4 linked regions of the Arabidopsis thaliana genome follow. The protein of the gene in region 3 interacts with the protein of the main gene of each other region in a pairwise test. Each region holds a gene or a part of one and is shown on either strand. Other genes may lie near its edges.

Evidence for each region.
Region 1: the proteins of MAP70-5 (region 3) and AT5G05190 interact in a two-hybrid assay, tested with the Arabidopsis thaliana proteins (one large-scale study listed by BioGRID).
Region 2: the proteins of MAP70-5 (region 3) and AT1G15200 interact in a two-hybrid assay, tested with the Arabidopsis thaliana proteins (one large-scale study listed by BioGRID).
Region 4: the proteins of MAP70-5 (region 3) and AT1G03140 interact in a two-hybrid assay, tested with the Arabidopsis thaliana proteins (one large-scale study listed by BioGRID).

The regions. Positions count from the first base shown.
Region 1 is NC_003076.8:1,539,318-1,544,651, forward strand, and holds AT5G05190 (hypothetical protein (DUF3133)), read left to right. Parts: upstream 1-1,900; 5' UTR 1,901-2,535; coding exon 2,536-2,656; intron 2,657-2,831; coding exon 2,832-4,558; 3' UTR 4,559-4,820; downstream 4,821-5,334. Other genes in the region: AT5G05200 (Protein kinase superfamily protein), read right to left, coding at 4,889-5,071, 5,210-5,326. UniProt on the Arabidopsis thaliana protein: Plays a negative role in salicylic acid (SA)-mediated resistance to powdery mildew (e.g. Golovinomyces cichoracearum). May modulate plant immunity by regulating the relocation of EDR1 by interacting with CHC2 and modulating endocytosis.
Region 2 is NC_003070.9:5,227,766-5,233,118, forward strand, and holds AT1G15200 (protein-protein interaction regulator family protein), read right to left. Parts: upstream 3,420-5,353; 5' UTR 3,253-3,419; coding exon 3,175-3,252; intron 3,096-3,174; coding exon 3,000-3,095; intron 2,924-2,999; coding exon 2,858-2,923; intron 2,777-2,857; coding exon 2,609-2,776; intron 2,524-2,608; coding exon 2,407-2,523; intron 2,286-2,406; coding exon 2,214-2,285; intron 1,865-2,213; coding exon 1,781-1,864; intron 1,682-1,780; coding exon 1,581-1,681; intron 1,504-1,580; coding exon 1,363-1,503; intron 1,287-1,362; coding exon 1,202-1,286; intron 1,117-1,201; coding exon 712-1,116; 3' UTR 535-711; downstream 1-534. Other genes in the region: AT1G15190 (Fasciclin-like arabinogalactan family protein), read left to right, coding at 1-256; ABCG35 (pleiotropic drug resistance 7), read right to left, coding at 3,787-4,714, 4,803-5,353.
Region 3 is NC_003075.7:9,656,123-9,661,493, reverse strand, and holds MAP70-5 (microtubule-associated proteins 70-5), read left to right. Parts: upstream 1-1,917; 5' UTR 1,918-2,088; coding exon 2,089-2,149; intron 2,150-2,245; coding exon 2,246-2,331; intron 2,332-2,487; coding exon 2,488-2,553; intron 2,554-2,652; coding exon 2,653-2,823; intron 2,824-2,907; coding exon 2,908-3,234; intron 3,235-3,316; coding exon 3,317-3,463; intron 3,464-3,555; coding exon 3,556-3,627; intron 3,628-3,695; coding exon 3,696-4,127; intron 4,128-4,202; coding exon 4,203-4,354; intron 4,355-4,458; coding exon 4,459-4,486; 3' UTR 4,487-4,842; downstream 4,843-5,371. Other genes in the region: SCL13 (SCARECROW-like 13), read left to right, coding at 1-276; AT4G17215 (Pollen Ole e 1 allergen and extensin family protein), read right to left, coding at 5,069-5,346. UniProt on the Arabidopsis thaliana protein: Plant-specific protein that interact with microtubules and regulates microtubule dynamics. May play a role in anisotropic cell expansion and organ growth.
Region 4 is NC_003070.9:753,761-758,185, reverse strand, and holds AT1G03140 (splicing factor Prp18 family protein), read left to right. Parts: upstream 1-1,882; 5' UTR 1,883-1,962; coding exon 1,963-2,805; intron 2,806-3,295; coding exon 3,296-3,715; 3' UTR 3,716-3,925; downstream 3,926-4,425. Other genes in the region: AT1G03150 (Acyl-CoA N-acyltransferases (NAT) superfamily protein), read right to left, coding at 180-249, 500-632, 1,451-1,541, 1,648-1,725; PSAD-2 (photosystem I subunit D-2), read left to right, coding at 4,044-4,425.

The sequences.
Region 1 (5,334 bases), on a different chromosome or scaffold from region 3:
AGACCGCTGGCTACGAACTTTATTAGTTAGATACAACAAATTTATCAATTATCAATCTTAAAAGATAGCTAAAGAAAACGTTACTATGGGCCCTTTTTCTTTCTTTAATTCTTTCATATGGAATCTATTATTAATTAAAGACATGTATTAAAGAATTTCAGGTGTAAAAGAATAGTTTTTTGCTTTGAGGTGTCTATCTTTATTTATAATCGGAAATTTTCAAGTAAAAAGAAATAGACTCTCCAAAGCATAGGTAGAATAATTGAATATTCTTATCAATTAAATCGTCTATAGTAGCCAATTATGATTGCAATCGTTGTGCGAATATAACCAGCATGGTATATATCACAAGTTTTTAGTTAGTGAATTTTTTAGTTATTTCAAGAGCTTGTTCTGTAGAATAAACCAAAAACTAAAAGAAAATCCATTCTATTCAATACCATAACTTCATGTGTTCACGAAACATCATGGGAACACAGTAAATAGAAAAACAAAATCAATTTATAACTATATATGAATGTTGTCAAATGGGAGTTGACCTCCAATATTATCTTTTATACATTTGAAACTTTAATTTTGACTTTTTTTTAGTAAGATAGTTTTTGTTCATGTCCTGAATGTTAGGTAACAGCTAGCGATTTGAAATAGAAATAAACATTTACAAACCATGTAGTGGTCCAAACCATTGACTCAATTAAAGAGTCAACGCATAATCGAATTTGTAATCTGTGAAGAAGAAGACTCGAATGGTATTGAACTTGATTTGATTTGATTCGTTTTGTGAATCGTATCCCGTTAGTCATTGGATTGTGCAGAGAAAACAAATATTGAAGCAACCTCTAATTAAGTCTACAAAGAAATAGGACACCACAACAAAGGTTGACTTTTACAGAATCACAAAGCCAAAACGATAATCTAGAAAGTAGAGAAACTAGACAGCACAAAACGATAAAAGACCGAGTCTGTCGACCATTACCTTAGTTTTTTTTCATATCGTTAAAAAATAATGTGATATACATGTACGTTAATACTTAATATATACTATTTGACTTGAGATAGCCCTACAAAACTTTTATTCATTTATTTCTCACAAGTTCCCTAAAACTTTATGAACCAATTTGAAGATTAATATTTTGTTACGTTGCTATCAATTTCAAATTCTTTGTAGGTGCTATATTTGAAAACTGGTTTCATACCTAAAAAGGTTATGAACCAAAGACTCAACTTGTCTGGTTATAAATAAAAGTGATTGAAAACACTCACACGGCTAGTGAATTCTCATTAGAAAAATGAAAAGTTCGTTAAATTCGACCAGTGATATAAATATATATACGAAAAACATATGATCATTATGCTTTTTGTCAGGTCCTAGAAATAAATATGTGGAACCCAATTCATTTCAACATTCACGGTAATTTAATTTCCCTTGGCAACATTTAGTCATTTACCGGAATATTCAAACTTCGAATGTTAGGAAATATTTAAGAAGGTAATGGTAAAAAGTAAGAAAAAAAGGACTGGGATCAATAAATGAGAAAAATGGAAGTAGTAGTGGGGCTAAAATTTCTCTATCCAAAATAAATGAAACAGGCGCCGACATTAACAACACCATTCCATTTATAACTCTTTATCCAAATTTTTATTTAGCTGAACCCAATTTACTCTTTCTCTTATCTTCCTCTACTTAATTCTTCTAACAAAGCTCTGTTGCAGATGCTTTCTTTAGAAAAAAATTGGGCCAATATTGTTTATTGAAAAGATCAACAACAGACTGGGTTTTGTTTAAGAAAGAATAGTGATTAGAGAACGAGTCGTTGATGTTCTAATTGACTTGCAAGAATGAAAAAAGATACCAAAAAATTCCTCAAAGAGATATTAAAAAGAAAAAACTTTTTAGACACGGAAAAAGAGAGACTTTTCTCAGAGGAAAAAAACAAGAAAAGAGAGAAACCATAGTAAAAAAAAAAAAAAAACTGTCTGTCCAACGATTTGTTTTTGTTTTTTTGTCTCTGTTCTCTCAATTCTTCTTCTTCTTCTTCTACTTCGCCCCCACGACAAGAAATTCTCCTCTCTATTTCTATCTCATTCTTTCTCTCTCTCTCTATAAAATCTTCAACTTCTGGGTTTATTCTTCCACAATCCCTCGAGTTATAATAACTCTCTGCAAAGAGTTTTACTTTGATTCTTCTGTGGAGGATCTTACACAATTTTCATGGCTTCTTGAATCATGTAATCTTTTCCTTCTCGCCATTTTTCATCTCTACCCGGATCCGTAACCAGCTCTCAGACCAGACCCGGGTTATACCATTTCTCCTCCTTAAAAGTCACACCGCGTTGACCTTCTTCCTCTGGTCTCCTCTCCCATTTTCTTTTAAAGAACTTCACAAAGTTTCAATCTTTTACTTTGGTTCCTCTCTCTCTCTCTGTTTATTAGGGTTCTGGGTTCTGTTGATGATGATTCTCTAACTAATGAGGTAGAGTTATAACCCAAAAATAACAAAAGTAGAGTTAAGTCTTTGAAATTTGGTACCAACAATGGCGAGCCAGACGGGTCAGAAAATTCGGTTGGTGAGGTGTCCCAAGTGCTTGAAGATTCTACAGGAAGACGAAGATGTTCCTGTTTATCAGTGCGGTGGTTGTTCCGCCATTCTTCAAGGTAACTTTCTTTCCATTTCGATTTTGCCTCTGATTATAATGTGAACTCTGTCCCTGAATCTGGCTTTGTTCTACTCCTGGTTGTCCATCTGTTTGGATGTCTGAGCTCAAACCAGTTGTGTTTTGTGGCATGATCTCTTTCATTATTAAATTTGGTTGTTGCTTCTTTGATTCAGCGAAAAGGCGGAACATTGCTCCAAGCAGTACACCAAGTGCAGGAGAGACAGAGAGGGCTCAAGCCAATGAGCCGCAAAGCGTACCTGAAACCAACAATGTGTCCAGCAGCTCGGGGCAGGACACGGTTCTGCCGTCATCTCCAGGTCGTTCCGTGGACCAAGAGTATGAGAAAGGTAGGAATGCATCCATGGAGTCTACGGAGAAGGAGCTTGATGACTTAGAGTTATCTAATGGAGATGGGACAAATGAAATTCAAGAGCAGGAATGTTCACTTGGTGATTCTGAGAAGAATGAAAGAGAAGACAACTCCAGATTGGAGTCTCATATGATGAACACCGTAGCAGAAGCTGCAGGATCTGGATCTAGCTCTGGAAGCTTGAGCGTTGATCATGTGGTGGCTGCAAGAGCGAGTAATCCATCCGGTAACTCTGAGATTTCACCGGATGCTTCCCCCGTAGAAGAGAAGCAAAGCCAACTTGACATTCTTGCAAACAAGACTCCTTCTGCTTATGATGTGGTGGCTGCAAGAGCGAGTAATTCATCTGGCAATGCTGAGATCTCACCTGATGCTTCCCCTGTTGAAGAGAAGCAAAGCCAACTTGATTATCCTGCAAACAAGACTTCTTCTGCTTATGATGGGAGTGAGTCTTCCTCTGACGAAAGGGAAGGCCAACTTCTCGATGATGACGAACAATGGAATGCTCTTCAGAAAATAAGATCAGGCAAATTTGAGATGCATAGATACCCTGGGTATAAGGAGCAAGGCGCTAGTTCCTCCTCCCCTTTCTCTGAGAATAGGCGCAATGGGATTACCACATACAACGAGCGGCATCAGAACAGGTCTCTACAGCTAGAGGGACCAGGAGGGCGCCTTGGCAGACAAGGGAGGAGACATGTGACAGAACAACTTCGGCCTGACATGCCTTTCTATCCGAGAGAATCATACACACGTGGAAGCCCTTCCCATCCGTCACATGATGAGTTTGATCGCTATCCCCGTGCACACTCACTTCAAATGCCTTCATACGCTGGAGGCATGAACCACGATTTTGTTGACTATATGTATCACAACAACCCAAGGGCAAGAGGTCAGGGCCAAGGAAGTAGGATCTCAGGTGAAATGGGAAGAAACCATGGCGGTTGGTATTCAGGTCAGCTTCATAATTCTTACAGTTCATATTCTGCAAGTCCACAGAGACCAATGGAACAACCTGAGTATCATCCGAGATGGAGGCGTGAGATAGTCTCAGACGTGGAGGATCATCAGCGTAATAGACATGCTGGCCACCACCATGAGTTACAGACCCGTCGTCTAAGAGAGAGACAACGTGTGGCCAAGCGTCATGTCCGTCCAACAGCTGGTGGGGCACCTTTTGTTAGCTGTTACAGTTGCTCAGAAAACCTGCAGCTTCCTGTAGACTTTCTCATTTTCAAGAGGAAACATCATCTTCTCAGATGCGGCACTTGCACCACTGTTCTCAGATTCTCACTTCAGTCCAGAAATCATTTAGTTCCTGCAGTAACACATGACATAAATGCTAATAGGAATAGCAATTCAACATCAGAGTCTCCCATAGACAAAGCTCCCTCCAAACCTGAAAAGCTGAGATCCTCTGTTCAGGATGAGGAGCTACCTGTGGCTAGAGGCTCTCCGCTTCACCGACTAATGGGATATTCTACTGTAAGCCAAGTCTTTAAAGTTTCACAGCGTCCTCCTTCTATATAGATCTCTGCTTCAGATGAAGCAACGAGAACTATGAACTTCTGAGAATCTGAGATGGAAAGTTTTGCCATTGTTTGCCATTCTTTATTTCACTTCTGTGTATAGGTAAAAGATTTGTCTCTGCACTTTTGTTTAAAGTAGAAACCATGACACTTGTGAAAAATTATACAAAAAAATAGAAGAAGATATAGTTCATCTGTTGTATATAGTCATGATATGTTTGTAACAAGATTGAATTCATCATCGTTCTTGGCTTGATAATCTACTATAACATTACCACTTGTAAATAAATAAAAAGTTTGAATAGGTTTAGTGAAGTATATTTGCATAAACTTAGTTGAAGCTGTCCTTGTATCCATTCGTCCTCTTGTTGGACGCGATAGAGATCCGCTGATCCTGCAGCATGTTCAGGTTTGGGGCTAATAGTCTTGTGTATCGATCGAAGTACAGAAGTTGCTTCAACAGAAGTGCAAACTCTCTCGGGAACTTAAGACCATATGATTCGCTAACACGCACCTATAAGAAAGTGAACTTATTTTCAACTGCTGAAAGCTCAAATCCTGGGGTTTATCTTAACTCAATGCAACTTCTATATCCTCTTAACAACTTTCAAACCAAAAAAAAATCCTTAAGAAATTACGTCTAACTGCTTACCAGGTCGAGGAAAAGAGCATTCATCTGTCTCTCATCCATAACTACGTTAGCAGCAACAGCAGTAGTGTCTGAATTTGTTCCACGAGCTGTAGCCACTACTATCTCTGTATCTAGTTCCTGCAAGA
Region 2 (5,353 bases), on a different chromosome or scaffold from region 3:
TCTTCTTCCCCTCACTGCTCCTTCATCCCCCAATCGTCTCGTGGAAGATTCGACGGCACTGGCAAAGTCACCATGGTTTTTAGGTTCAAGATTTTCACCGGCACCAGAGCCTTACTTCGCCTTTATGGATCTTTCACCAGCAGAATCGCCGAGTGTTGAGGAAGTTTCACCATCGCCGTCGTGGGGAGAAGGAGAAGAAGATTTCATCGTAGGCGATGAAGGAGGTCCGTTAGATGGGAGGAATAACGGCTTTTGATGTACACGTGTCGAAATCTCTGTAAAACACCTAGCACGTGTCTTTGACTCTTTGTAAAGTCAAAAGAGTCCTTTCTTCTTCTTTTTTTGGTCAAAAGAGTCCTTTGTTTTTCTTTTTTTGCAAAAAGAGTCCTTCCTTTTGTAGTGAAATTTGAAATGTAACCTCCGGAATTTCTTAATGCAGATTGATTCTGAACCGAATTTAACCGACTTATACCAAATACAATCTTTCAATGAATATGCCAGTGAAGAGACATCTGTCGAGCAAGCGGCAGTAGCCGATGCATGAAAGCTGAGGCTACTACACTAGCAGATAAACAAAACAAATTATATAGCACAAAGGCAAATCTTTCCTAGAAATTACCATAATTCACGTTACAACGCTCCAAAATAGATTTGACCAGTTTTCTAACTCGCAAACTCCACCAAATTTCAAGAACAAACAAACTATATGACTTAGAGAACCTCATGTTTAATATCTTCCTCCACTGCTTCTGCTTTAACTGTATCAGTTGCCACTTCCTCCTTGATGGTTCCATCTCCTCCCTCCTCCAGTAAATCATCCATTATCATTTCATCCTCTCCACCATTGATATCCTCTACTTCATCTTCTTCATCTTCATCTCCTACTCCTCCTCCAGGTATCTTTCTCTTCTTTGGCCCATGCTCCATCCTATGAGTCTCTAATTCCTTGTCCATCGTTTCCTGCAAATTCATACCCTCGTTGTTTGCTTTCCTTGCCTTCCTTGCGTTTTGCCACCTCTCCAGCTCTTTCTCAACATTACCCAGACACTGCTCTTCTATCTCCTTTTGATACTCACTCACTTCTTGTCTCCTTGCTGCCTTCCATTCTAAGAATGTCTGCATCAACACAAAACCAGTCACATCAAATATCCCATAGCATGCATGTCAAAACTTTCTTCATTTACAAACTACAACACCTTACCCGCTCTTTCTGTTGTTCTACCTCACTTGTATCTTCTTCCAAAGGCTTCACTGGTGCATAGTATATCCGTGGCTCTGCTTTAGTCCTGAAACACCCGTCCACATGCAAATCAAATTAAATAAGTTTTGACAGAAACCTTTATATCAGCTACCAATTTCTACCTATAGCACCAAACATTGCCTTTGTATGCACGTGAATGGAAACTTATCTTTGCCTCTATAAAATTGTCAATATGCACACTTTTTGGACCGAAATAAAAAATAACCTGCAAATGAAATACATAGCAGTTAGCAATCTCATCACTGAGACTCATCATGCAGAGTAAGTAAGGGTACGCTATAGAACTAAATCACACGCAGTAACAGCATGTCAACACTACCTTATAAAATTGCTAAGTTTCTTTTGGTGCTCACTCCATTGAAGGAAAAGCAATTCCAATTTCTTTTGTTCTGCTTTAGCAGCAACACGAGCCCGAAGAGTCTGATTGACCAGTTAAATTGAGTATATCAGATCTTTACTACACAAGACTGCCATTTGGAATGGTATGCAAAGAGAAAAAAACTTAAGCTGGCCACTTACAAGATCTCTTCTCCTCTTTTCAGTCAAATTTTCACGCTCCTGCAGCCTCAGTCGTTCACTTTCTTCACGAGCCTTTTCCTCCGCCTATAAGAGTAGGAGGGATACAATGAACAAACACTGCTAATGCATTGTAGTACTAAAGATGATGCTAAGGAATAAACGCACTCCTAACTGGACATATAATGATACCTATACCTATACCCAATTCCAATATAGACACCCATATCTAGAGAGATTTAGGCTTCCCTACAACGCTACTTAAGCCAAAAGAAACTGAAGGAAAATGCTGTCTTAGTTTAAAGTACAAAAATGTACAAAAGAAACTGAAGGAAGATGAAGATTATCAATTCAAGTACAAAAATATGGCGTTTCCCTTAAAAAAACAGTAACAAGCTTCATAAAATATCTCCAAGTGAATATGGTGTGTGCTTACCCTTTGTAGAGCTGCAGTTCGTCGGGCGTATGCATCTGTTCCAGAACGCTGCTTATCTTCTTTTCTGAACTTCTGCAAAAATAAAGAGTGAGAAGTGAGAATACAATAAATTGAATAAAGAATGAAAAATCTAACTGAACATGAATCAAGCTAATCCATGAGACAAGAGGTTCATGTGAATCTCAGCAAATACCTCCAAAGTCCCTAGAAGATTCCCTAGCATTCTTCTGTTCCTATTAACCAGTTTAGGATCCTCATTCTTAGGTAAAACCCTTGGTGCAGGCTCCGGCAATGCAAAAGCTTCGTAACGCTGATAAGAGCAAAATAACAACAACCACTGAGTAAACAGTCGCTTCGTTCTCATAAAAAGGATTTATGGGAGGAATTTGATTTACCTTATTGGTCCGTCGTTGTTCTGCATCTCTCTGGGACCAACTTCCACGATGAAGACCAGATTGCTTCTTGTCACTTTGATCAGAAGTCCCATTCTCACCAACTTTAACCTGGGTTCCATTACCATCAACTGGAAATTCTCCATCTTTACTAACATCTTCACCGTCGACCTAAAGTATCCCGTTAAAGTTAAGTAACCACTTCGTTCGATCTATCAATGAGAATGCAATTACTTTCCGAACACAAATTACCTTAACAACGGCGGAAGACAATCTCCTTTTAGCAGGAGGCTCGTCTTCTACGTCATTCCTCTCCGCCTTCAAAAACACACAATATCCAATAATCAATTACCGCAATCTGTTTCATCTCAAAGGAGAGATAGAGAAGACTTACAGGTCGAGGAAAGCCTCTACGGCCTTGGTTGCGAGGAGCGACGTTTGAGAAGCCTCCACGGCGGAGTCCACGAGGGTCACGAAGCCTCTCCGTAATCTGAACAGGATAGAGAATTAAACAATCGCCGTCAACAGAGATTTGTAAAGTGAGAATGAGATTGAGGTGGAGATAGTACCTCACGCTGTTGACGGTGAAGCTCATCGATCTCATGCCGTAGCTCTTCCGCTGTCTTCTCCAAGGCGGTGTCTCCCATCGTCGCCGTTGCTCAGAAATTTTGCTCGAAACCCTTAGAAGAAGAAACCAAATCTTTTTGTTTATGGGCTTTAAAAGGCTTTTACTTCACTATCCGTCCAACATAACTTCACAAAAGCCACTATGAGAAGAAACCAAAAATCTTAGTTATTAATTGATATAAAATTTAATTTTAATGCAAATTTTCTGAAATTCTATAAATGTTTCTTATATGAAATTTTTTCTTTCAATATTTGAGTTTAAATCAAAAAAATATAAGATAAGAAAATATAATGTGGAAGAAAAACCTAGGTTGCATGAAATCGAAATCACGTGTGTGGAAGCGATTTTTCTAAAAAAAGTTTCATTATAACATTCAAAGTACTACTTCTTCTCTGTTTTTGAGTTGCAACTTTTATTTCTAAATAGGTTCTTCTTGATGAATAATTTTTACATTACAACAAAAATAAACTCACATTAAGAGAAGAAAAGAAAAAAAGAGGAAGCAAAGCTTTATTGCAAGAAATGTTTCACAAGAAAACAGAGTGTATAGTGGTTATCTAGACTGGAAGTTGAGAGTCTTGATGCAAAATGCGAAGATGAAGGCAAAAAAGACAGTGAAGCCAACTAGTACTCCGGCCACAGGTCCCATGTAGTCTGATTCAAAACCATATTGATCTTTAATGTACTGTTTAACAGTGAGGCCAGGTGCACCACCAAGGAGAGCGATGGGAGTCTCAACGTCACCGTATTGAGAAGTGATCAAACCGTATATGGTCCAAGCAACAGGGCAGATCCAGTAATACCAAACCCACCACTTTGGAATTTTGGGTCTAGGGATGAAAAATCCAGAGAAGAGGTTAAAGATACCATAAAAGGCTGATGCAAAGATAGAAGCTACTTGTTGGTTAGGTGTGAGGGAAACTGTCATCATGCCGTAGTAGGTCCAGTAGAGGAAGGAGAAGTAATTGATGAAGATAAACCACAAGAACTTGGAAGCTTTCCACTCGAATCCAACCATAGAGTAGATGATAAGAGAATAGTACGTGGTCTGAATCAAGACATAAGGTAGTTCACAAGTCACCTGGGAGATAGCATAAGGTATAGCTGAGTACATCCCAGCAGCTTTTTCTCTGTAGAACACTGTTCTTTCCACTGCCACCATTGGTTGTACTGTTGAGCAGTTGTTTATACCAACGAATACAACTGCTGCGTAGATTGCTCCGATCACCATCGTTAGATCTTGTACGTTTGATCTCTTACCTCCGATTTGCCAGAAGACAGAGCCGATCATGAGAGATGTTGCCAATGTGAAGATGAACCTGACAAGGTTGTAGTCAGGAGATCTCCAATAAGTCCACCACTGCTTCCATAGACATGATTTGAATTGTCCCCATGTGTTCTGTGAAAACTGTGTGGCAAAGTAGAGATCAGTCGCTCCTTGGGGAGGCACGCTTAGTTCTTGCACCAGCGCCTTGTTCCGCCTGAGACAGAACCATTCATATGTTAATTAGTTAGATCAAGTATCATCATCACATCATTAGCAAATATATTTTTGTTGTGTTCACTTACTGGCATAAGGCTGAAGCCTTATATAGCTCAGCAAAGTCAACTCCAAGCTTTAACTCGGCCGCAAGGGAGCTAGCTTCCAGCATCCAAGTGGCCGGGTTGTATTTTTCCGGAATCTTTGGCACTCCAGGGAAGGATTCAAAGTACTCAACAACCTTGTGAGAGTTTCGGCCTAAGGGACCAGAGTAGATCACATGTCCTCCTCTCTTCATTAGTAGTAGTTCGTCAAAGGCCTCAAAGATATCAATGCTCGGTTGGTGGATGGTGCACACAACAGTTCTCCCTGTGTCCACTGTGTTTCTCACAGCTCTCATAACAATAGCAGCTGCTCTAGCATCCAACCCTGAAGTTGGCTCGTCCATGAAGATGATTGAAGGGTTAGCTACAAGCTCAACAGCGATTGTTAATCTCTTTCTCTGTTCCGTGGAAAGCCCTGTGACCCCCGGTAAACCAACAATTGCATCTCTCAGATCCACCAACTCCACTAACTCCATAACTTGATCCACAAACATCAATTTATCCTCTTTGCTTACTTCCTTAGCAAGGCGAAGGAA
Region 3 (5,371 bases):
CAACACTGTGTAGCAAGAGACATAGTGAACATGATAGCATGTGAGGAGTCAGAGAGAGTAGAGAGACACGAGGTACTGGGGATATGGAGGGTCAGAATGATGATGGCTGGGTTCACGGGTTGGCCGGTCAGCACATCTGCAGCGTTTGCAGCGAGTGAGATGCTGAAAGCTTATGACAAAAACTACAAACTGGGAGGCCATGAAGGAGCGCTCTACCTCTTCTGGAAGAGACGACCCATGGCTACATGTTCCGTGTGGAAGCCAAACCCAAACTAGATTGGGTAAGTTATAGTGATGATGGTTACTTGAGTGGATAAAGAAGAGCACAACAAAAACACATCTGTCGCTGTAAATTTTTTAGGATGTGCAATGATGTTTTAAGTTGTAACACAACCTAAGTTATATATGTATACAAACCAAACCTGGTGGTTGTTTTTCTCTTGTAAATTGTCATGTGGTTGTGGGTGGGTTGCTAGTAATGAAATATAACCAAAACATTGATTAGGTCATTTTATGATCTTCTTCTATATATACCGGTATAAGTCAACTGGCGGCTGAACAAAGGTCGTGAGGTAACAAAATATGAGACAAATCTACAGGTCAGATTGGGTTCTGAATTCTGATAAGGTCTTAAAAAGGAGCTCACCAACCCACAAAACCATGGATTGAACAAGTACAGGTCATTGCCTTCATTTTATTCTTTACTTTTCTAAGGCTCAAGCTTCCTTTATTGCCTTTAATAACAATATACTAATGAGTATTTTGCACTCAGTAACAAAATTCAGGAGAGTAATTTTTTGCCCTAACATGTTACTTTTATGTGTTAAGAGTTTAGAATTTTGGATCTATGATTTTAGTTTTTGTTAGGGAATCATATTCATATAAATAAAATATTGCCATTGACTTAATTGTTGTTATTCACCTAATTTCTCTCCAAATTTGGTCATTTACCTCAGTTGATTCTATATTATACTTGCTAAGTGTTCTTTGTCTAATTCTCTATCATTGTTTGATTTAATAATAACCAAACCTTAAGACTTGGAAGCAAAGAAGAGAGAAAATCCCAATTAATTTTTAATAATTCAAAGAGAGATATTGAGTGACTTCCACTAATACAAAGAAAGCTTGGTTTGTGCAATATTTTGCGGTTAAGCTATTAATTGCTGAGGCAACACCTTTTCACACTTTGCTTTCCTTCTTCCAAGTTTTCAACTTTTCTTTCTTACTCTTTCTATTAATCAAACTGCAACACAAAAATCATTTGGATAATACATGTTTAGAAGATGATTAAGCTTTAGTTTTATTTCAAGATTATCATAATTGTTATCTGTTGTTACCTACATTCATATAATCTTATCAAAAACGATAAAGACAAAAAGGGGATACAATATAGGTTTTTATTATAAAGAAACAGGAAAGAAAGAAAAGGGTTTTCACCAAACGAAATTAGTTCAATCATTTAAATTATCTTTATCCTTATGATTAGTGTCTTTATATCTGTCATATGCTGCTTCTCCTTCCAACTTCCTTTGGATTATATTCTCTTCTCTTTATTTTAATTTCCATTTGTGGTAGCTGTTTTATTTTTTGTATTTTCACGCCGTGTCCCTTTAAAATAATATTAACTACACCACTAATGTTGGAACATGAAAAACATGAATGAGGTAATTATGATGATGAACCAAATGTTAAGGACAAGCTCGGTGTAACTAAGAAGATAATTAGTGAAACAGAACAAGTCAATAACTTGTAAGCATTTCAGAATTGAAAATAAAGATAAGGGAGGATGAATATGAATTTAGTAAATGGGTAATGAAAGTGAAAGAAGAAGAGGGAAGGGTTGGTTACTGTCTCAAGGGTTTGAAATGGAGACGGTTGCTTGAGAATGAGGAAAAAGAGTTAGTAAGTTTTTAACTCTCTCTTTCTCTCTCCCTCTCTCTTTTTCAACGTCAATTCCTTTAAGGAATGGCCTCTCTCTCTCTCTGAAAGTGTGTGTGTATATATTAAACGACTCCATTTCTCCTCTGCTTAGACCAAAACTCATCTTCTATACTGCAACAAAGAAGGAGGAGCCGTTGAGACTACAAAATGACTGCAGCAGAAAACCCTTTTGTATCTGACACCTCTTCTCTGCAAAGCCAGCTTAAAGGTTCTTATTTTTCTTTCTGTTTATTGTTCATCAACCCTTATGAGTAATTTGCTTGATGTTGAGGTTGTTCTGCTTTCTTTTAATTCCACTCTGCAGAAAAAGAGAAAGAGCTTTTGGCTGCTAAAGCTGAAGTTGAGGCTTTGAGAACAAATGAAGAGCTCAAAGACAGAGTCTTTAAGGAGGTAACATGCATGATGATCATCAACTCTGTTTGTGATTGTTCTACAAAAACTTTAAGTCAATCTTACCTATAAGTTTTTTTGATCAATGTTTTCCATATTCAAACTGTCCTTTTTGAGCTTCTTGAGCTCTATTGATGCTACTTGGTGTTGTTTCAGCTTAGAGAAAACGTGAGGAAGTTGGAGGAGAAACTTGGAGCCACCGAGAATCAAGTTGACCAAAAGGTGAGGTTTTGCTCAAATACTATAGACCATCTTTGTGAAGGACTCATGTCAAAACATTAGAAATGACTAGAATAAGTTAAGCTTGTGACATGATTGTAGGAGTTGGAGAGGAAGAAGCTAGAAGAAGAGAAGGAAGATGCATTGGCGGCACAGGACGCTGCAGAAGAAGCACTAAGGAGGGTTTACACTCACCAACAGGACGATGACTCTCTACCCCTAGAATCCATCATAGCTCCTCTTGAATCTCAGATCAAGATTCACAAGCATGAGGTTCTTAAGACTATATGTATTTCAAATTTCTTTCTTGTATCAGTGTGAAGTGCCAGATTTTCTTGACATGCTACTGTTTGACAGATTTCTGCACTTCAAGAGGACAAGAAAGCGTTGGAACGTCTAACAAAATCAAAAGAATCGGCGCTTCTTGAAGCAGAGAGAATCTTGAGAAGTGCCCTTGAACGTGCTTTGATTGTTGAAGAGGTCCAGAACCATAACTTTGAACTTCGACGACAGATTGAGATATGCCAGGATGAGAACAAGTTTCTTGAGAAAATTAACCGCCAGAAAGTGTTGGAGATTGAGAAGCTCTCCCAAAGCATTGTAGAACTGGAGGAAGCGATCTTGGCAGGAGGAACAGCCGCCAATGCAGTTCGAGACTATCGCCGCCAAATCTCCCAGCTCAATGCAAGTGTTCTGTTTAGTTTCTTGTACTTCATTCTCACATTTGTTTTAAAGGAAAATCACATGATTTTTTCATCGTTACCAGGATGAGAAGAGAACCTTAGAGAGAGAGCTAGCCAGAGTCAAAGTGTCAGCAAGTAGAGTGGCACTTGCAGTTGCTAACGAGTGGAAAGATGAGAACGATAGAGTCATGCCTGTAAAGCAATGGCTTGAAGAGAGAAGGATTCTCCATGTACTCACTGCTTTTCACTTACACATCCAGTTAATACACACTGACTAGCTTATATGGGAAACATTAGTGTTGAACTTTGTGTCTGTGTGCAGGGAGAAATGCAGAAATTGAAAGATAAACTCGCTGTTTCCGAGAGAACCGCTAAGGCTGAGTCCCAGCTAAAGGTGATTGCTTATGTAGTTAATATTCTGTTGGTAAAAAGTGTAGTTTCTAATGCAAGTAAACATTATAGGAGAGGTTAAAGCTTAGGCTGAAAACCATAGAAGATGGCTTGAAGGGCCCAAACACGTTTTTCGTCTCTCCAACTACAAAGACTGAAAAATCTGGCAAGATTTTAGGATTCTTGACCAGTGGTGGTGGCTCAAAGAAAAGGTCTAGTTCTCAGCTAAGAGGCTCAGTTACAGGCAGAATCCATGCTATGAATCAGCCAATTGACAGAGTTGGGGAAAGTGATGAAATGGAGAATTCAAAGATTACTGCAAACGGATTGACTGATCAACATGAAGAAGATAGCGAAAGGAAAACAGAGGAAGATGGAAATGTTTATTCTGAAGATATGGTTTCAGGGTTTTTATATGACAGGCTTCAGAAGGAAGTGATTGCTTTAAGGAAGCTATGTGAGAGTAAAGAGGGTACTATAAATGCCAAAAATGAAGAAATCAAGGTAACTTCATCATCTTCTTGTGGTTGTTTAAGATCCTCAACTATATGAAACCTCTTAAGATACCTCTGTTTTTAGATGTTGTTGAAGAAGGTGGATGCTCTAACGAAAGCCATTGAAGTTGAGACAAAGAAGGCAAAGAGGGAAGCCGCAGCGAGAGAAAAGGAAAACGCATTGGCAATGTTGAATGAAGAGTCAAAACTATGTAGAAAGGCAAAACTACCGAGAAGGTTTGGTCATCACATCCTTTGTTGTTTGTCTTTGTCTTTTGAGAAGTATACATAGTCAAACATCAAGACAGTTGATATTTATATGTTTATGCTATGTTGTGCAGCCGCATACCCAATCCACGTTGCCAGTAGAGGAAGAAGAAGCTTATGGGATTGAATACTAAAGAATATGGTCTAATGTTAGGTTGTACTGTACATATTGAGTATTGGATGATGGATTATAAGAAAGTGAAAACTAAAGATCAAGAGATGTGTATGTGTGTTATGTATATCGGATTGCAAAGCCATGTTTCCAGATGATGACACAAAACTCCTCTCTCTTCTCCTACCAATTAGTTGAATGTTAGCAATTATCTTGGAAACCTATAAGTAAATCAGAATCAGCTAAACACAAAAACATGCATATTCTCTCTCAAAGTCATACATAACCATATATGTCTTCTCTCAGATTTTTTGGTCTTGCCTTGGTTGTTAGGCTAACATAACAAACTTTGCATCTAATATATATATCATAATCAGTTACAGGATCGTATGATCTCTGTAGTAGCAAGAAGATCCAAGCTTGAAGAAAACATAAATTTTATTATATACAAGAAGAGCATGAAGAACAAGATTTACAAAGACTATCTCTCTTTCTCACAAGAAGTGAGAAGGAACCATATAGAAATAAAGTCAGGACTGATCTTTCCTAGCAAGATTAATTTACAGTCTCTTTTACATGGTGCTCTCTTGTAAGGTGATATTTCCAGCTGTATAGACACGAGAGCCGTTGGAAGAGGAGAGGAGTTGAATACCTCTGTGAATCTTGGAAGAGCATCGATACGGTTTAGGGACAGAGAGTGTTTTAATGATACAAGCCTTGTCTAAGTCAGGAATCGCGTGGAGGTGAGAAGGAAGATCGATGACGAATTGCCCCAACTCATTTGTCACAGCTTTGATCCATTTAGATCTCCTCCTATGTCCAGTATGGCACTTGAAGCCAATAGTAGCTCCTGTATGATGATGATGATGTGTTAG
Region 4 (4,425 bases), on a different chromosome or scaffold from region 3:
GAGAAACGGTTTGTTTCATCAAAATGGCCATCAAGAAGAAGCCTATGAAGGAGATTTGACACTAATAAATGGAAATATGTAAAATGTGTGCATGTCCCATTTACAACTTCTTCTTTTTTTCCTACAATGTCATCAACATTATGAGGCTTCTAATCAATTTCATAATCCTAATATATTACCTTTTCATACATCTTGATGGCTGGTGTGTTGGAAGCTCTTACAAAAAGATCCACAAAGTAGGCTTTATCACTGCAATCAATAACCACAAGTATAATAATCATTAGAAGACCAGAAATTACCAGATAATATATAAAATCAATGAGGAGAAATTCAAGATTTTCTTCCTTTGAAACAATCTAAATATATCGGTTTTCAAATAAATAAATGGTCCACTCGAAAGCCAATATCAATATATTAAGGCTTTCATATTTTATATCATAACGATCCATATCAAAGAGAACACTAAAACTTGAGATGCTTTGTAATTGTTAAGTCTTACATCTTATCACTTATATCTTCCAGAAGGTTCATCAGTTTCTTTGCAAGTTGCTGCCTGCGGTATTCTGGAGAGACAGTGACGGCTGTCACATGACCATGCCAAGATTCACCCTGTCCTTCAACTTTACCCATAACTGAAACCATGTAGAATCTTAGTTAGACACATGCTTTTAAAATTATATTTATAAGAACAAGTTTTACATATGTCACTTACGTTGGATTCTCAAGAATATCAACCATAACATTTCAACTATACAAAAGAACATTTCAGTGACACTGCTTAATTTTCAAATGTGTTAATATCCAAAAGCTTAGTTTTACTCTCAGTTCTTTCAATGGTTTCACTATACTTCCAAGGTCTCTTTCCAAACTATACCACGAAAAGGGAGAAAAACAGGTATAGTAATAGGGCACCACGAGAACAGAACGTCAATAATGAAGCATATATCGTACTTGAAGAAAATAAAGAAAGATAAAGCCTTGTATAAATCACATTTCGAACCAATCCAATAAGGTATAGCATCATTATACTACAAACACTGAAAGACAGAAAAATTTGAGCCTTGATATAACTCATAACTCATTCTCTGGACATTTAGAAGTTAGCACAAACAATCTTAAGCCATGCTTCCTATGCATCTTCTACCCCATATCAAGATTTCTAAAACCGCTAACTACAGAGACTAGGACTAATACAAGCAGAATTTGTTTAAACACTTATACATCCTGGTTTGTGTTAATCAGTTTTCAAACAGAGTCACTCTTCCTGGTTTTAACAACATTCAAGCTATCTCCATCTGATAACCAAAAAAAATCAATAGTGGCTTTTACACTAACAGTTTATCATCTAAGTTTCAACCCTAAAAGTAAACATAATCTCCACGAATTTCAAATTCCTAAACCAACGAAGACATAAAGAAATCAAAACGAAGAGAACAAGAGGATTACTTACTATAACCCATGACACGATTGCCGGGACCTTCAGCAACATGAAAATAGTCAGGCCATCTCGCTAAATAGGTCATGTAGAAGGACATATTGAACTGTTTCACGAAACAAAATTCGAACAAAAATCAACAAAATCGCCATAGCAAAACAAAGCAATAATCAGACGAAACCAGATAATAAGAAGAAGAAACACGAGATTACTGTTTCAGTGAGGTGGTCCAGATTCACGGAAGTGAATCGGAGAAGGTCATTGCAGCTGAATCTACGTATCGTCGTCATCTCTTCTTTTTCTCAAATCCCTTCGAGCTTCGTCAGATTCTCTGGAAAAAGAAAGAGGAGACAACAACAAAGCAATATACATGGCCCAGTTAGAAAATTAATAAAGCCCATTTATATTTGGGCCTATAACACTGATGACGTCATGTAAAAGATGATCAAATTTCATTATCTCCCGTCGTCGCGACCTTCTCAGACAACAGAACCAAATCCTCGGCGGCGATTGAAGAAACCTTTCCGATGGATCTGCTCAGGGAAGAGATTCTGAAGAAACGTAAGAGTCTAGCTGAGGAATCTGGTGGTAAGAAGTTCTTCAAGCGGTCTGAGATCGAGCAGAAGAAAATCCAGAAGCTTCGAGAGGAAGAACGACGCGAGCACGAGCTTAAGGCTCAGCGGAGAGCCGCCGCCGCCGCTTCCGGTGGAGATGGAAAATCATCCGGCTCTGCTCCTGGTTCTTCTAACGCAGCTACGTCTGCGTCTTCCAAATCCTCTGCATCGGACGCTGCTGCTATCGCCGATTCAAAAGCCCTAACCGACGAAAACCTAATTCTCCCGAGGCAGGAAGTGATTCGTCGTTTGAGATTCCTTAAGCAGCCGATGACTCTCTTCGGAGAAGATGATCAATCGCGGCTCGATCGACTCAAGTACGTTTTGAAGGAAGGATTGTTCGAGGTTGATAGTGATATGACTGAAGGACAGACGAATGATTTCTTGCGTGACATCGCAGAGCTTAAGAAGAGGCAGAAGAGTGGTATGATGGGAGATAGGAAGAGGAAGAGTAGAGATGAGAGAGGAAGAGACGAAGGTGATAGAGGTGAAACAAGGGAAGATGAACTTAGTGGTGGTGAATCGAGTGATGTTGATGCTGATAAAGATATGAAACGTTTGAAAGCTAACTTTGAGGATCTATGCGATGAGGATAAGATCCTTGTGTTTTATAAGAAGCTGTTGATTGAATGGAAACAGGAGCTTGATGCGATGGAGAACACTGAGAGGAGAACTGCAAAAGGGAAACAGATGGTAGCCACTTTTAAGCAGTGTGCTAGGTATCTAGTTCCTCTCTTCAACTTATGCAGGAAGAAGGTAAAGATTCTTGCTTTCGATTGTTAATTAGGTGTAAATCATTGTTTGGCAAGAAAATTGTTAGGGAGATTATCTCTGTTTATGAAATTGGAGATAGATTATCTCAGTTCTATCTAATAAGCTTAGAGAACTATGTTTATTAAGCATAGTTTGGGTAGGAAGACCAATGTGCAGTGTTTAGGTTCCATTAGTTTGTGTACTTTTGATTATATGGCGACAAGGACGAGTTTTCTAATAAGTTCTAGTGCTAGGTAGACAATGAGAACGTAGAATAGCAAGTTGGAATCTGTATGCACCTTGAATTTGCCATTGAGGCCTCTGTTAGTTATCTCCATTTAGCTGAAGAAAAATAGGCTGGAATGTTGAATGCAGAAAAAGTTTCTCTCTTTCTGTCTTTGTCTTATAAGTGTTAAGAATGTATACTTTCTTACACTGAAATTTTATGAGGTTTCGTGAACTTGATCTTTCTAGTTATGGCTTAAAATTGCAGGGTTTACCAGCTGACATTCGTCAAGCTTTAATGGTGATGGTTAACCACTGCATAAAGCGAGACTACCTTGCTGCAATGGACCACTACATCAAACTAGCTATCGGGAACGCGCCATGGCCTATTGGAGTGACTATGGTTGGTATTCACGAACGTTCAGCTCGAGAGAAGATTTACACCAACAGTGTTGCTCACATCATGAACGATGAAACCACTCGCAAGTATCTTCAGTCAGTTAAAAGACTGATGACTTTCTGTCAAAGACGTTATCCAACTATGCCTTCTAAAGCCGTTGAGTTCAATAGCTTAGCCAACGGAAGCGACTTACAGTCTTTGCTAGCCGAAGAGAGATTCTTTGGTGGTAATCGTGAACAGGTCTCAGAGGAGAGACTCCGGCTCATGCCTTCTCAGAGCGAAAGCTAGTCTTACTGTGTTTTCTGCTTTGTTGTGTTTTTATTTTTGTATCAAAACGTTGACTCTGTATTATCGTCTATTTAAAACGTTGACCTGATTGTCTAGTCTTATGTGGCATGTGGGAAACATATCCAAACTCATAAAACGACATGGCCTAAAGATCTAGTAAGGGTAAGAGGAGAATCGAATCTTGGAACCTTATTGGTCCAAATGGTATGATCACCTTATCCCAAAATGTTCGATTCTCATCTACCCTCTCGTTGTCAGATTCTATTAAGCCATTTCATCTCTATCCATTTACTCCACAGAGAAAGATTCAGAGAAAACAGAAGAAACTATGGCAACTCAAGCCGCCGGAATCTTCAGCCCCGCCATAACAACCACTACTTCCGCCGTCAAGAAACTCCACCTCTTCTCATCAAGCCACCGTCCCAAGTCTCTCTCCTTCACCAAAACCGCCATCCGCGCCGAGAAAACAGAGTCCTCCTCTGCTGCCCCAGCCGTGAAAGAAGCTCCAGTTGGATTCACTCCCCCGCAGCTAGACCCAAACACACCATCACCAATCTTCGCCGGAAGCACAGGAGGTCTCCTCCGTAAAGCACAAGTAGAGGAATTTTACGTGATCACATGGAACTCACCGAAAGAACAAATCTTTGAGATGCCAACAGGAGGAGCTGCGATAATGAGAGAAGGACCGAATCTATTGAAACTGGCGAGGA